Saccharomyces cerevisiae S288C: one gene and its partners. The gene in region 2 interacts genetically with the main gene of each other region. Each region holds a gene or a part of one and is shown on either strand. Other genes may lie near its edges.

Region 1 (5,361 bases), on a different chromosome or scaffold from region 2:
TTTACCTCCCACGATTTTCTCTCGATGTTGAAAGTCTGCAAAAACTACTCTGATTCTGATTTTTTCTATTTTGCTTTCTATAATTTGTTGGTTACACAAAGTCACAAATTTTTTCTTTTCGATAAGTTTAGTGATAAGTTTTCGTGGAGGTTGCCAATACAAATCGGAGATGCAATTTCTGAATGGCTATCCAGCTTAGAAATTGATATACAAGAAAACACCGATAGAGTTTTGCAGATAACAGATGACGTCGGCGAATGGTATGTTGAGAATAAACCATTTAAGTCAGAAAAAGGGACCATTCAACCAATAAACATAATGGAATTGCGCAAAATTTTTGGGGAGCGAAAAACTCTATTTCATATGGATTCAGAAATTTTCCAAAAATCTAAAGCAAAAAGAGATAAAGAAATGCGGAATGAAGCTTTATTTACCGCAAATGATGCGGAATATAATTTTGCTGCGGATGTATCCTATGCAAAGAGAGTAGAAAATCTATTTTCTTACATAAGATCTAAGCAAATGCAACAAAAATAATGATTATATGTAAAATTTGCCGTTTACATTCTATAAAGTGATATCAGACTCTAATATATTCGCCAATTCATGTTTCTGGCAGGCCACTTGTAGAGCTTGGAGTTGCCTGGTGACACCTAATTCCAAAAATATCTGGAACATACCTTGTAAAGCGACATTTTGATCAGTCATAAATTTTGATTTTGTTGCGGCGTATTCACGTTTCACAAGAACCAACAACCTTTTCAGTATTATGTTGGATAGATTCTTCTGGTCAGCATTTTCTCTCATTGTGTGGTAACAAGATATTGCCAAGAACGGGAAGAATTTGATCACGCTTACTCTCAATGTCGTACAATCTAATAAATGTAGGTTATAGAACTTGGCGAAAACACCCTGAAAATTAAAATTTGGATGTAGAACAACCAACCCAGATTCCATGATTCTAGTCCAAAATTTTACACAATGAATGGTGAATTTGATGGTGTCAAATCTCATACCTCCTGTTAATGGATCCTTGTTACGATCGCGTATTCTTGATTCAGCGATTTGTTTAGCGCTTGGAATTATTCTGATTAAATCGTGGCATAATTCCAGCTGTTGTGAAGGAGACAAAGATCTGTAGTATACGATAAATGAATCTATTGATGAAGTAAGCTGAGAATCTGTAAAATGTATTGCTCCAGCGCTCACTGCATATCCTTTCCAGAATTCTTCACTTAAACCTTGCTTGTGACGGAAATTGAGTATCGAAGAGTCAGATAACACAGTGATTTGTGATGTGGCCGAAGCAAGTAATTGATAACTTAGTTTTCTGATCTCTGGTACAGGTTCCGCCAGCAATCTCGTTAATTTTGGATTGATGGAGTCGCAATCACCAGATAAGAAATCGGGATGGGATTGCATAAGTTTTAAAGCCTGTATTCTTACCAGACGTCCTACATCACCCTGTTGAGTTATTGTATAATCATCGAGACAGTTGATAATGATGTTGCGAAATTTTCGATACGAATTCGACGGGAGTAAGCTTATTCTAACATCCCAATGATGATCAAGTTCGCCTATCAAAAGCGATCTGGATTGAGGTGACAATAGGGGGAACTGGGAGAAGAAAAGGGAACACATCTTTTCTTGATCGGGCATATGACATATTGATCGGCAAGTCAGTTCGTTATCTGATTTAATTAATTGAACAATCCTTGTGTAGTTTAGGCTAACGCATTGAGATATTATTTGCTGTATTATAGGGATGAATTCGTTGTACAGATTTAACTTCTTTTGTGGGGATACTATGTCTACAAATTTCCAAAACAATTCCTGATTGAAATCATTTTGTCCTGTTAATTGCCAGTATTTCAAAATGACAAAAATTTGAAACAGTTCGGGCGAATTATCGTTAAATTGTCTTTTCGCTTGAGTAGTTAATTGGAATTTTATCTTTTTCTGGTAAATGTCGATACAAATCTCGCTTATTTTCGGGCAATTTACGTCATTTTCGAATAGTTTCAAGTACAAGTACAAAATTTGACAATTTTGTGTAACTGAGCTGCCAGCCTTGTTTAATACCTCTTGCAATAAAGCGGGTGAAGATAATTTCGACTTGATTAATGGAACTAGGTTATAATCTATGTTGAGTTTCATTGTGGTCAAATGTAAATTCTCTAGTAAATTCCAATTGAAGGACCAATCGCGGAATACCTTCCATACGCAAACAGCACTTTTGGAGGTGTTTTCGGGGTTGAACAGCCTACGAATTAGACCAGAGTTCTCCTCGAAAGACCTCGGTAGATCCTTCCAATTTGCTTGCAATATCAAAGCAATGTCATTTTGATTTAGCGCAAGAGATTTGTTGGACCTGCCCAATAATTCTTGGAGCGCGGCAAAACTCGAGTATCTGATTATTAATTCGGGGTCAAAAAAGGCGTTTATTAACAGATGAGAAAGTAGTGATTGTAGAACCTGCGGCGATAAACTATTGCTACGGTTTGACCTTATTACTGACCAGATAATGAAGTTTGTCGAGTCCCTGATATGGTGGCCCTTGATGATTTGAAAGTGAGATTTCTGAAAATGACATGTTTTAGGGATGATCAGAGTCAATACGCGGTCGACTAGATCTATAGGCAGAATTTTGGCCAGAGCCACCTCGGCGATGATCAGAAGGGAAGTGTGCAGCTCATTGCTATCGATAGAATCGCAAGGAGCCTGTAATAGGGAAACCGTATTTTCGATGGTATAATCAATGAGCTCGATAAAAGATGCTGGATCTGCCTGGTGCAGGAACTTGGCAATTTTAGCGAAGGAGTGTGCCAATTGGAATCTTGTGTCTGTGGAATTCGAACTTAAATGGTCATGGAAGAATTCTACTATAGCATCTAGGATATCATGAGAGCCATGATTGAACGAAATCTGGAATAATTTTGGCAGCAGCTTTATTCCGTCATTGGACAGTGCAACTTGTTGTAAGTGTCTTAGATTTTCATTGGAGAAGTAGTAGTTTGCCTTTTCCGAAGACTGAATAAACAGCTTTAAAAATTGGTTGAGAAACGGCACATTTGCCTGTTCCCGTTCCGGTAGCTGGTCAAAGGCATCTGTGAAGTTTTTGAAATATAAAACGGCTTTGATCTTGTTAATTGGAGGTATGCAAATGGGGTAGTTCTCGAACCTGGAAGATACTTGAAGCGTTTTGTTGAATTTATCTTTGAATGCGTAAGGTGAAAGCAGAATGACGCTTAGCCAAGAAAGGTTTAGATAGACGCACAAGACATCGCTGAAAGAAGAGGGCGAGGCTCGATCTTGTAAATAGTTTAAAATTTCGTTTAATCTAAAAATACTTGTATCTAATGATTTAAGGACTTTTGAGTGGGAGATCTTGTCAAGATTGTAGAAAAGCTCCGCAACAAGTTTCTGATCACGCTGTGACATACAAAAGAACGACTTGGTCAAAAGAGGCACGCATCTCGGTAGTATGGTGTCTAGAAGTGCAGGATCATCTTGAAATTTGTTGATCGCGGCAATCGTCTGTTGGTGCTTTTCTGGAGAAACGGTCTGAACTCCAGATTGTATCGAGTCCAGCAAGGCCCGAATATTGTTCATGATTGAAGGGTGTAAAGTGCGTGTGGTGGCGTTCTTTCCAAAAATATTATCGTCTTTCCTTTTTTTTTCTTTTTTTTTTTTTCAATAGTAATAGTATTTCCTAGTGATCTCGGCGATTTTCCTTGATTTCTCCAAAAGCGTTTTTACCCGGACGATATGAATCCATCTATTAAACATCATAACATCATATTATTTTTTTCTGTGCTTCTAAAACGGAGATCAAATACCGGGCCCGCGCGCGATGGCCGGATGTCCGTCCATACTGCAATGTGAATTCCCGCGCGGTTCAAATCTTGTCACAAGTTTGTCAAAATTGCTTGTCATGTCTGCCAAATCTCCAGGGTCCTAAATCTGAGGTAGCACGGCACGGCACAAGATGGTACCCATGGTGCGTGACGACAGCCGCTACTTGCACGGCTTTGTTCCGGCAGCCCGGGTACCCGCGCTGCGAGTTGAAACATCATCAAACCAAAAGGGAAGCGACGTTAGTTTTTTTCATTGCGCTAGCTATGACGTTTGGGTGGCCTAGCCGGTTCGCGTGTGCCTGTCGCTTTTGTCGCTTTTCAACTTCTGCCCGATATTTCCTATCAAAGGAAAATGGGACGTTTTCAACCCCTCGCTATCATCGTGCCTGCACTCTGCCTATCGCCAACTACACCGGGGTTTTATCTGCTTCACCCCTCCATCCAGTGCTGATAACAAGAAGAACCTTGCAGGGTAGGGCAGGACCTACGGCCAAAATACTAATTATGTCTGTTTATGTACATGCCCCAATCTGAATATTCCATGAATGTAGGCACAGCATATCTCCATCCATGTACTGATACAGACGCATAAACATATATGTATATACATACTTATACACTCGAATATTTGTAGACTGATGTACTTCTATATATATATAGGGGGTTTGTGTTCCTCTTCCTTTCCTTTTTTTTTCTCTCTTCCCTTCCAGTTTCTTTTATTCTTTGCTGTTTCGAAGAATCACACCATCAATGAATAAATCATGGTAAATATACTGCCCTTCCACAAGAACAATAGACACAGCGCGGGAGTCGTCACCTGCGCGGACGATGTTAGCGGCGACGGTAGCGGCGGCGACACCAAGAAGGAGGAGGATGTTGTCCAGGTAACGGAATCACCATCGTCCGGGTCGCGCAATAATCATCGCAGCGACAATGAAAAAGATGACGCCATCCGTATGGAGAAAATATCTAAGAACCAGTCCGCGTCGTCCAACGGCACCATCCGCGAGGATTTGATTATGGACGTGGACTTGGAGAAATCGCCCTCCGTCGATGGCGATAGCGAGCCGCACAAACTAAAACAAGGTTTGCAGTCGCGCCATGTGCAACTGATCGCGCTGGGCGGCGCCATCGGTACCGGTTTGCTGGTGGGGACTTCATCCACGCTTCATACGTGCGGTCCCGCGGGGCTGTTCATATCGTACATTATTATTTCCGCGGTGATCTACCCGATCATGTGCGCGCTGGGCGAAATGGTGTGCTTTTTGCCCGGTGATGGTTCTGACAGTGCCGGGTCGACGGCCAATCTGGTCACTAGGTACGTTGACCCTTCGTTGGGCTTCGCCACTGGGTGGAATTACTTCTACTGCTACGTCATTTTAGTGGCCGCCGAGTGTACGGCGGCATCCGGTGTGGTCGAATACTGGACCACCGCGGTTCCCAAGGGCGTTTGGATCACGATCTTTCTATGCGTGGTTGTTATACTAAACTTTTCCGCGGTCAA
Region 2 (4,203 bases):
TAAAGAACACCTTACCGAAGGTGGTAACATGGCCTTCCACAACCATTTGAATGATTTTGCTCATATTGAAGATCCTCTGGAAAGAAGAAGATTGGCTTTGGAGTCCATCGATGACGAAGGTTTCGGTTGGCAACAAGTTAAGACCATCTCCATTGCTGGTGTTGGTTTCTTGACAGATTCTTATGATATTTTTGCCATTAATTTGGGTATCACTATGATGTCCTACGTTTACTGGCACGGTAGTATGCCAGGTCCAAGTCAAACCTTGTTGAAGGTTTCCACTTCTGTTGGTACTGTTATTGGTCAATTTGGTTTTGGTACTTTAGCTGATATTGTTGGTCGTAAGAGAATTTATGGTATGGAACTTATTATCATGATTGTCTGTACCATTCTGCAAACCACTGTTGCTCATTCTCCTGCTATTAACTTCGTTGCTGTTTTAACATTCTACCGTATTGTCATGGGTATTGGTATCGGTGGTGACTACCCACTATCTTCTATTATTACTTCTGAATTTGCCACTACCAAATGGAGAGGTGCCATCATGGGTGCTGTCTTTGCTAACCAAGCTTGGGGTCAAATCTCCGGTGGTATCATCGCTCTTATCTTGGTTGCTGCTTACAAGGGCGAACTAGAATACGCAAACTCTGGTGCTGAATGTGATGCTAGATGTCAAAAGGCTTGTGACCAAATGTGGAGAATCCTTATTGGGTTGGGTACCGTTCTAGGGTTGGCATGTTTGTATTTCAGATTAACTATTCCAGAATCTCCTAGATATCAATTGGATGTTAACGCTAAGTTGGAACTTGCTGCTGCCGCACAAGAACAAGATGGCGAAAAGAAAATTCACGACACCAGTGATGAAGACATGGCAATTAACGGTTTGGAAAGAGCTTCTACTGCCGTCGAATCTCTTGACAATCATCCTCCAAAGGCTTCGTTCAAAGATTTCTGCAGACATTTTGGTCAATGGAAGTACGGTAAGATTTTGCTAGGTACTGCTGGTTCATGGTTTACCTTAGATGTTGCTTTCTACGGGTTGAGTTTAAACAGTGCTGTTATTCTGCAAACCATCGGTTATGCCGGTTCCAAAAACGTTTACAAGAAACTGTATGATACTGCTGTCGGTAATCTGATTTTGATTTGTGCTGGTTCATTACCTGGTTACTGGGTATCCGTCTTCACTGTCGATATAATCGGTAGAAAACCAATTCAATTAGCCGGTTTCATCATCTTGACCGCTTTGTTCTGTGTCATCGGTTTCGCATACCATAAACTTGGTGACCATGGTCTGTTGGCTCTTTACGTCATTTGTCAATTCTTCCAAAACTTCGGTCCAAACACAACCACCTTTATTGTTCCTGGTGAGTGTTTCCCAACTCGTTACAGATCTACTGCTCATGGTATTTCTGCTGCATCTGGTAAGGTCGGTGCCATTATTGCACAAACCGCTTTGGGTACTCTAATCGACCATAACTGTGCTAGAGACGGTAAGCCAACCAACTGTTGGTTACCTCACGTCATGGAAATTTTCGCCTTATTCATGTTGTTGGGTATCTTCACAACCTTGTTGATCCCAGAAACTAAGAGAAAGACTCTAGAAGAAATTAACGAGCTATACCACGATGAAATCGATCCTGCTACGCTAAACTTCAGAAACAAGAATAATGACATTGAATCTTCCAGCCCATCTCAACTTCAACATGAAGCATAAAAGCCTCAAAGATGCACTAAAACTTGTAAACTAGAACAAATAATACAAAAACATTTTTATAAACTTATTATCAAACCCCTTACATAATCTATAAATACTGTCAGGTTACATATTTATTCGATAATTTCTTTTAATTTCATTATTTCCTCACATCTCTCTGCCATCCTGTTGGCTGGTGCCAGAGCAGAGCATATCGTCCTTTCTTTTTTAGTTCCAGACGTTACCCGACATATCATTTCTCGAGCCTCTGGAAACCACGAAACGTTTTACAAATTGCACATCTAAAAGAAATATAAACACAGATCAGGTATCTCATAAAGTACATTAATCGACTAAGCAAGCGACTTGAGACAATGAGAGAGGTCATTAGTATTAATGGTATGTATGCGTTCCTTTTTTTGTTCAATATTCGCAACCAATGGCACCTGTGGGACAGGGAAAGAAGTTTGATCTGATCTGGTTTGATTCATTCCCAATTGGTCACCATCTGGTTGATTTACGGCAAATAATTTGACTTGTACCAGCACAGTTTACTAACAGTTTCTTTTTCTCCATTTTTTCTGGGCATACTCGGACGAAAAAGCTCATAATTGACCTCATTACATGGGGAGTGATTTTTGTGTCTTCTTCTTCGGAGGATTGCTGGAACTTTTGTTATTTTTCTTTTTTACAACAGTTGGTCAAGCAGGTTGTCAAATAGGTAATGCATGCTGGGAATTGTACTCCCTAGAGCATGGCATCAAGGAAGACGGCCATTTGGAGGATGGCTTGTCAAAACCTAAGGGAGGTGAAGAAGGATTTTCTACATTCTTCCATGAAACGGGGTACGGAAAATTCGTCCCAAGAGCAATCTACGTGGATTTAGAGCCCAATGTTATCGATGAAGTACGTACAGGACGTTTCAAGGAGCTTTTCCATCCAGAACAATTGATTAACGGTAAGGAAGATGCCGCCAATAACTACGCAAGAGGCCATTATACAGTGGGTAGAGAAATAGTGGATGAAGTTGAAGAAAGAATTAGAAAGATGGCCGACCAATGTGACGGTTTACAAGGGTTCTTGTTCACCCACTCCCTCGGTGGTGGAACTGGTTCCGGTTTAGGTTCCCTGTTATTAGAAAACTTATCGTATGAATACGGGAAGAAATCCAAATTGGAATTCGCCGTTTATCCTGCGCCTCAATTGTCTACTTCCGTCGTGGAACCTTACAACACGGTTTTAACCACGCATACCACCCTGGAACACGCAGACTGTACGTTTATGGTCGATAACGAAGCCATTTACGATATATGCAAGAGGAACTTGGGAATTTCTAGACCAAGCTTCAGCAACTTGAACGGGTTGATTGCCCAAGTGATATCATCTGTTACAGCCTCTTTGAGGTTCGATGGTTCATTAAACGTGGATTTGAACGAATTTCAGACCAACTTGGTACCATATCCAAGAATTCATTTCCCTTTGGTTTCCTACGCACCCATCTTGTCCAAGAAGAGGGCCACCCATGAATCCAACTCCGTGTCAGAAATCACAAACGCTTGTTTCGAACCGGGCAATCAAATGGTTAAGTGTGACCCAACAAAGGGGAAGTACATGGCTAACTGTTTGTTATACAGAGGTGACGTGGTGACCAGAGATGTCCAAAGAGCCGTCGAACAGGTGAAGAATAAAAAAACAGTACAAATGGTGGATTGGTGTCCAACAGGATTTAAGATTGGTATTTGTTATGAGCCACCAAGTGTGATACCAAGTTCCGAATTAGCCAATGTGGATAGAGCTGTCTGCATGCTATCCAACACCACTGCCATCGCGGACGCTTGGAAGAGAATCGATCAGAAATTCGACCTGATGTATGCCAAACGTGCTTTCGTCCATTGGTATGTCGGTGAAGGTATGGAAGAAGGTGAGTTCACCGAAGCTAGAGAAGATTTAGCTGCCTTAGAAAGAGATTATATTGAAGTGGGTGCCGATTCTTACGCTGAGGAGTTCTAAGAAAGTGGCTCTGATCCCGATACCCACTTATAGATTTATATTTACTTAATGTCCATATGTATATACATATATATATATATATATATATACGCTTATATATATATATGCATATTCTATCCAAATAAAGATACCTCTAATTATCGAATTATTTTTCACTTACCTTTAGGTGTACAGTTAGAACAATAGCTTATTAAATTTATTTTTTTCCCTATGTTCCGCGGAATATTGAAAAATTTGAAAATATTCTAAGACAAAAATACCCATAAAAAACAAAGAGTTTTGAGCTCATCTCGTTGCCACCCAAACTTATCACAAAAAAGGAAGCACTCCAAGAACCGCGTGAAGAAAATGTCAAAAGAAGACATAGAAGGAACTAACATTCTAGACGAACCTGTCCACGGGATCTATATTCCTGCCGCGCTATTCGTTGTTGGTGTTGCAATCACCACGTATATGTCTGGTGAATTGAAAATCCTGTGGAGTTTACCCATTCTCTTCAT
Region 3 (2,950 bases), on a different chromosome or scaffold from region 2:
GTATGGTCTTTTGTCCTCGCTTTAAAGGGCATTCCATGGGACCTGGCATTATGGAAAAAGCTATGGAGTGCCTACAACTTAGAAACAGACGACACTGACGAGGGCAGCAGGCCAGACAGTAATCGCGATCTTTTCATATTCAAGTGGGACAAGGTACTTTTGGGTCAATTTGAAAACAACTTGGCAAGGATGCAAGATCCGAATTGGTCAAAATTTGTGAGGCAAGATCTGAAAATATCACCACCTGTTATGAAGAGGATAGTATCCACCCCTCAAATACAACAACAAAAAGAAGAACAAAAAAAGCAAAGTTTGAGTGTCAAAGACTTCGTTTCTCACTCAAGGTTCTTTAACAGAGGCACTTGAAAAAACGCATGAAGTGGTTTACAGAGGAAGTACGTAGTATAGTATAATATAGTTCATAAATCTATATTCTTTCTAAACATCGAAAACGAGATTTTTTTGGACTTCCGTCTTTTTTTTTTTTTTTGACTTGAATTCTATTAATATTTATAGCTGACCTGCGCACCAACTTTATGATCGTTGGTAGAGAATGTTTTGAATTGAACTACTTCACCATCAGGTATCTCTTTACTATTGGAGTCGGCCCATTCTAACGGAACTTTAGCATCCGCGTCTGTATATGCAAGTACTGTGAATGTGTACCCACCTTCTTTTGTTAGTTCGGGCAGAAAGGTAACGCTTGAGGTGATTTGCCTGATTAAAGCTCTGATTTGTGATTGTGTTGTATTTAAATCTACAACATCATCCTGCCCGTTGCTATTGCCAGAAATGTGTTGCACATTGAAGGACCATCTTTCCACCACCTCTCCCTCATCCTTGTCTACAATACATAATACTAATTGATTGCATTTTCCACCAAGAAGCCACCTGTGAACTTGTAGAAGAATTTTCCGAATGTAATCTTTCAGTTCATCATCATGTGTCTTTAGTAACGTAAGATCGTACTTTTTCACCGTTACGAAATCTTCTGCTGGGTATACGCCTCTTTGGTACAAAATGGAATTAATGCTGTACTCGAAAAATTCTGTAACTGTCCTTGTTGAACCCTTTAGTGATATTGATTGTGACATTAAATGTGCTATTGGGCCCCTTTGAAGTGGTTTTCAATACTCTTGTACGAGTATTTAACATCAATCATTCTTCGGGGCGATTTCTATTCTTGAAATGTTAAATCATAAACCATACGTAAACATTTGAAAAAAATTAAAGGCAAAAAAGAAAAAAACCACATTTTTGAGCCACATATACCTAGTATACTGAATTTATACTATAAAGCAGTAGGTCAGCAATGGTATGTGCACTTCAAATGTTCGTTACATTATGAATTCTTTTTTTTACTGACTACCAAGCAATTTTTTATATTTGCCACATTAAACAGCATGGCATTAAAAGGAAACAGTGGACCAAGGAATTACTGAGACAAAAGAGAGTTCAAGACGAAAAGAAAATATATGATTATAGAAGCTTGACTGAAAATGTTTTGAATATGAGAGATGAAAAAATTTACTCAATTGAAGCTCTGAAGAAAACATCAGAACTTCTTGAGAAAAATCCGGAATTTAATGCTATTTGGAATTACAGAAGGGATATTATAGCGAGTTTGGCTTCTGAGTTGGAAATACCTTTCTGGGATAAAGAGTTAGTTTTTGTAATGATGCTATTGAAGGATTACCCCAAAGTCTATTGGATATGGAATCACAGACTTTGGGTCTTGAAACATTATCCTACGAGTTCCCCTAAAGTGTGGCAAACTGAACTTGCTGTCGTGAATAAGTTATTGGAACAAGATGCAAGAAATTACCACGGATGGCATTACCGCAGAATAGTTGTTGGTAACATAGAGAGTATCACTAATAAAAGTCTTGACAAGGAGGAGTTTGAATACACAACAATAAAGATTAACAATAACATTTCAAATTATTCTGCATGGCACCAAAGAGTACAGATCATAAGCAGAATGTTTCAGAAAGGAGAGGTTGGGAATCAAAAGGAGTATATTCGGACTGAAATATCTTATATCATCAACGCTATGTTTACCGACGCCGAAGACCAATCCGTATGGTTTTATATCAAGTGGTTCATTAAAAACGACATTGTTTGTAAAACTCTGGACGAACAAGAGTACCTTAAAATGTTGAAAGACTTGAGAGAAAACATTCTGTTAATAAATAATGACGAAATTGAATTTTCCGGGAAGCAAAATATTTGGTGCTTGAAAATTTTATTAGTTCTCGAAGATATTCTGGAAGAAAAGGAAGCTCTAACGGAAAGAAGCTCGGAACAATATTTGGTCCAATTAATAGATGCGGATCCGTTAAGAAAGAATAGATACCTACATCTCCTGGAGCAGCATAAGTGATGATATACATATATAAACATATATATATATGTATATATGATGGAAGCCTGTTCACTATAAGCGGGATTTCATTTGACACCTTCAATGCACGAAAGTATATGCATATTTTTCTTTTATTGTAATATTACCGATGATTTGAACAAAGAAATAAGTATATTAGTGTAGAGAATAGATGTATACAAGTTCTAAATACTATAGGTTAGACTATGCAGGAGGGTTTAACCCTGGATTAATTTAGCTGTCAAAGATTCCAAATCCTCCAAAGTTTGTGGTTCTTCCACTTCAATAATGTCATCATCAACTGAATTGGATGGATTGTGGCCGTGGGAATAGTCAACAGTTCTAGCTTTCTTTTTCAAGTGGCCTTCCGAGTCAGGCATATCACCGTCGCTCATATCATCGCTCAAGTTTCCTGTTCCTAAATATGCTACTGTCTTCCCTTCTTCTTCATCTCCAGAAATTTCTTCTTCCATAGCAGCCTCCATTTCCCTTCTCATGGCTTCTAGTCTTTTTCTCTTCTTCTCTTGTTTTTTTTCTTTAGCCACCTGCTTATCAATATTGTCAATG
Region 4 (3,400 bases), on a different chromosome or scaffold from region 2:
ATCACTGACAACAAAATTGTCTTGCAGCCCAATTAATAAAAAAAAATAAAGTTATATATATAAACAAATACGTAAACAAAGGATAGAAGGCGAACTGAATCATCGTTCAGTAGCGGTTCTGGTTGCCGTTATTGTTCTGTTGAGAAAAGTTGCCAGAAAAATTGAAGGATTCGTGCTGTCCATTGGAGTTCTGGTTTCCGCCGTATTGCGGTCTTCCGTACTCATTGGATTGCTGTTGACCATTCTGTTGCGGTCTACCATACTCATTAGCCTGTTGCTGGCCCCCATAACTCGAATTTGAATTGGAGTTATTGCCCAGGTAGGAACTTGCCATGGAAGCCAAAGCTGAGAATGAACTGGAGTGGCCTTGTTGCTGCTGCTGACCCTGTTGTTGATGCTGATAGTTTTGGCCTTGTTGCTGGTATTGCTGCTGGTTGTTTTGGCCTTGTTGATTGTATTGCTGTTGGTTGGATTGAGTTTGTCCACCACCTAAGTAAGATTGAGCCATGGAGGCCAATGAGGAAAAAGCACCACCAGATTGTCCCTGTTGTTGTTGGTAACCACCGTTGCCACCTTGGTACTGTTGATTATTGTAACCTTGACTATTTTGGTTACCGTTTTGATAGGATTGGTTATAGCCCTGTTGACTATTGTTGGAGTTCTGATTATTATTGGAATGCATAAAAGAGCTTGCCATAGAAGCCAGTGCTCCAAAGGAGGAACCACCGGAGCTTTGATTTTGACCTTGCTGATTATTGTTGTTGGAATTCATGAAAGATGAAGCCAAAGACGCCAAAGCAGTAAAAGAACCTTGACCTTGACCTTGTCCTTGACCTTGACCTTGACCTTGACCTTGTCCCTGACCTTGGGAATTGTTACCTGACTTAAAGAATTGAGAAGCCAAGGCAGCCAGGCCGGAAGCACCCATACTTTGGCTCCCGCCGCCAGAACCACTTAGCATTGACATGACAGTCCCTACGTCAAACCCTCTGTTAGAAGAACCTTTATTTGATGAGTGTGTCATCACTGTGGCTAACAAAGCTAGTTTTCCTAGTTGCGTTTGGGAAGAACCCTTAGAGTCTGCCATTAAAGTGTTCATAAAAGATGAACCACCACCAGCAGCACGATCTTGCGAGGCGTCACTACCACCACTACGGTTGTCCATGACGTATCCTGCGATTTTTTGAATTAATGATTCAATAGTTGACATTTGCTCGTCATTGGGGTTCGACTGAGCTGCGGATGTCAACTTCGCAACAGCTTCTGCATGGTTTCCTTGAGAAAAATGAGACTCAGCCTCTGAGATTAACTTATCCGTATCCATTTCAGATCTTTGCTATACGTTTGTATCGCTATATGTACGTTCTTTTAATGAACTTTCTCCTTTCTTTATCGTGTAGCTTGCTTGGGTATCTTTTAATGAGTTGCGGACAGTGAGATTTTTCAGAAGGGCAATTGGCCAAGACACCAAAAACGTTTGGACGAGACAGGCATCAAAGGACAAGGTAAAAGGCGTTGAGCTGTGGCTGGCTGTGTATGCGTTTGAAATACCATGGATAGATATCAAAGAAAGATAGGATGTTTCATACAAATCCCAAATTTGGGGCGCGGACAACTGAAATACGTGGGTCCAGTGGACACGAAAGCTGGAATGTTTGCTGGTGTAGACTTACTTGCCAACATTGGTAAGAACGATGGATCATTCATGGGGAAGAAGTATTTTCAAACGGAGTATCCTCAAAGTGGACTATTTATTCAGTTGCAAAAAGTCGCATCATTGATCGAGAAGGCATCGATATCGCAAACCTCGAGAAGAACGACAATGGAACCGCTATCAATACCCAAAAACAGATCTATTGTGAGGCTCACTAACCAGTTCTCTCCCATGGATGATCCTAAATCCCCCACACCCATGAGAAGTTTCCGGATCACCAGTCGGCACAGCGGTAATCAACAGTCGATGGACCAGGAGGCATCGGATCACCATCAACAGCAAGAATTTGGTTACGATAACAGAGAAGACAGAATGGAGGTCGACTCTATCCTGTCATCAGACAGAAAGGCTAATCACAACACCACCAGCGATTGGAAACCGGACAATGGCCACATGAATGACCTCAATAGCAGCGAAGTTACAATTGAATTACGAGAAGCCCAATTGACCATCGAAAAGCTACAAAGGAAACAACTACACTACAAAAGGCTACTCGATGACCAAAGAATGGTCCTCGAAGAAGTGCAACCGACTTTTGATAGGTATGAAGCCACAATACAAGAAAGAGAGAAAGAGATAGACCATCTCAAGCAACAATTGGAGCTCGAACGCAGACAGCAAGCCAAACAAAAGCAGTTTTTTGACGCTGAGAATGAACAGCTACTTGCTGTCGTAAGCCAACTACACGAAGAGATCAAAGAAAACGAAGAGAGAAATCTTTCTCATAATCAACCCACTGGTGCCAACGAAGATGTCGAACTCCTGAAAAAACAGCTGGAACAATTACGCAACATAGAAGACCAATTTGAGTTACACAAGACAAAGTGGGCTAAAGAACGCGAACAATTGAAAATGCATAACGATTCGCTCAGTAAAGAATACCAAAATTTGAGCAAGGAACTATTTTTGACAAAACCACAAGATTCCTCATCGGAAGAGGTGGCATCCTTAACGAAAAAACTTGAAGAGGCTAATGAAAAAATCAAACAGTTGGAACAGGCTCAAGCACAAACAGCCGTGGAATCGTTGCCAATTTTCGACCCCCCTGCACCAGTCGATACCACGGCAGGAAGACAACAGTGGTGTGAGCATTGCGATACGATGGGTCATAATACAGCAGAATGCCCCCATCACAATCCTGACAACCAGCAGTTCTTCTAGGCAGTCGAACTGACTCTAATAGTGACTCCGGTAAATTAGTTAATTAATTGCTAAACCCATGCACAGTGACTCACGTTTTTTTATCAGTCATTCGATATAGAAGGTAAGAAAAGGATATGACTATGAACAGTAGTATACTGTGTATATAATAGATATGGAACGTTATATTCACCTCCGATGTGTGTTGTACATACATAAAAATATCATAGCACAACTGCGCTGTGTAATAGTAATACAATAGTTTACAAAATTTTTTTTCTGAATAATGGTTTTGCCGATTCTACCGTTAATTGATGATCTGGCCTCATGGAATAGTAAGAAGGAATACGTTTCACTTGTTGGTCAGGTACTTTTGGATGGCTCGAGCCTGAGTAATGAAGAGATTCTCCAGTTCTCCAAAGAGGAAGAAGTTCCATTGGTGGCTTTGTCCTTGCCAAGTGGTAAATTCAGCGATGATGAAATCATTGCCTTCTTGAACAACGGAGTTTCTTCTCTGTTCATTGCTAGCCAAGATGCTAAAACAGC

What was found.
Region 1: mutations in TUB3 (region 2) and CIN1 together harm fitness more than expected from each alone (negative genetic interaction), as found in Saccharomyces cerevisiae (6 studies listed by BioGRID, with this or other methods).
Region 3: mutations in TUB3 (region 2) and MAD2 together harm fitness more than expected from each alone (negative genetic interaction), as found in Saccharomyces cerevisiae (5 studies listed by BioGRID, with this or other methods).
Region 4: mutations in TUB3 (region 2) and BIK1 together harm fitness more than expected from each alone (negative genetic interaction), as found in Saccharomyces cerevisiae (4 studies listed by BioGRID, with this or other methods).

Annotation. Positions count from the first base shown.
Region 1 is NC_001147.6:988,040-993,400, reverse strand, and holds CIN1 (Cin1p), read right to left. Parts: upstream 3,613-5,361; coding exon 568-3,612; downstream 1-567. Other genes in the region: MNE1 (Mne1p), read left to right, coding at 1-537; proline permease PUT4, read left to right, coding at 4,619-5,361.
Region 2 is NC_001145.3:21,548-25,750, reverse strand, and holds TUB3 (alpha-tubulin TUB3), read left to right. Parts: upstream 1-2,067; coding exon 2,068-2,092; exon of another isoform or gene 2,093-2,187; intron 2,188-2,390; coding exon 2,391-3,703; downstream 3,704-4,203. Other genes in the region: phosphate transporter PHO84, read left to right, coding at 1-1,714; PGA3 (cytochrome-b5 reductase), read left to right, coding at 4,052-4,203. UniProt on the Saccharomyces cerevisiae protein: Tubulin is the major constituent of microtubules, a cylinder consisting of laterally associated linear protofilaments composed of alpha- and beta-tubulin heterodimers.
Region 3 is NC_001142.9:385,801-388,750, reverse strand, and holds MAD2 (spindle checkpoint protein MAD2), read right to left. Parts: upstream 1,095-2,950; coding exon 504-1,094; downstream 1-503. Other genes in the region: VPS53 (Vps53p), read left to right, coding at 1-366; Rab geranylgeranyltransferase BET4, read left to right, coding at 1,313-1,315, 1,403-2,383; RNA-dependent ATPase HCA4, read right to left, coding at 2,602-2,950. UniProt on the Saccharomyces cerevisiae protein: Central component of the spindle assembly checkpoint which is a feedback control that prevents cells with incompletely assembled spindles from leaving mitosis. Thought to be recruited to unattached kinetochores by MAD1.
Region 4 is NC_001135.5:68,074-71,473, reverse strand, and holds BIK1 (Bik1p), read left to right. Parts: upstream 1-1,552; coding exon 1,553-2,875; downstream 2,876-3,400. Other genes in the region: prion domain-containing protein RNQ1, read right to left, coding at 107-1,324; HIS4 (trifunctional histidinol dehydrogenase/phosphoribosyl-AMP cyclohydrolase/phosphoribosyl-ATP diphosphatase), read left to right, coding at 3,141-3,400. UniProt on the Saccharomyces cerevisiae protein: Required for nuclear fusion, chromosome disjunction, and nuclear segregation during mitosis. Probably required for the formation or stabilization of microtubules during mitosis and for spindle pole body fusion during conjugation.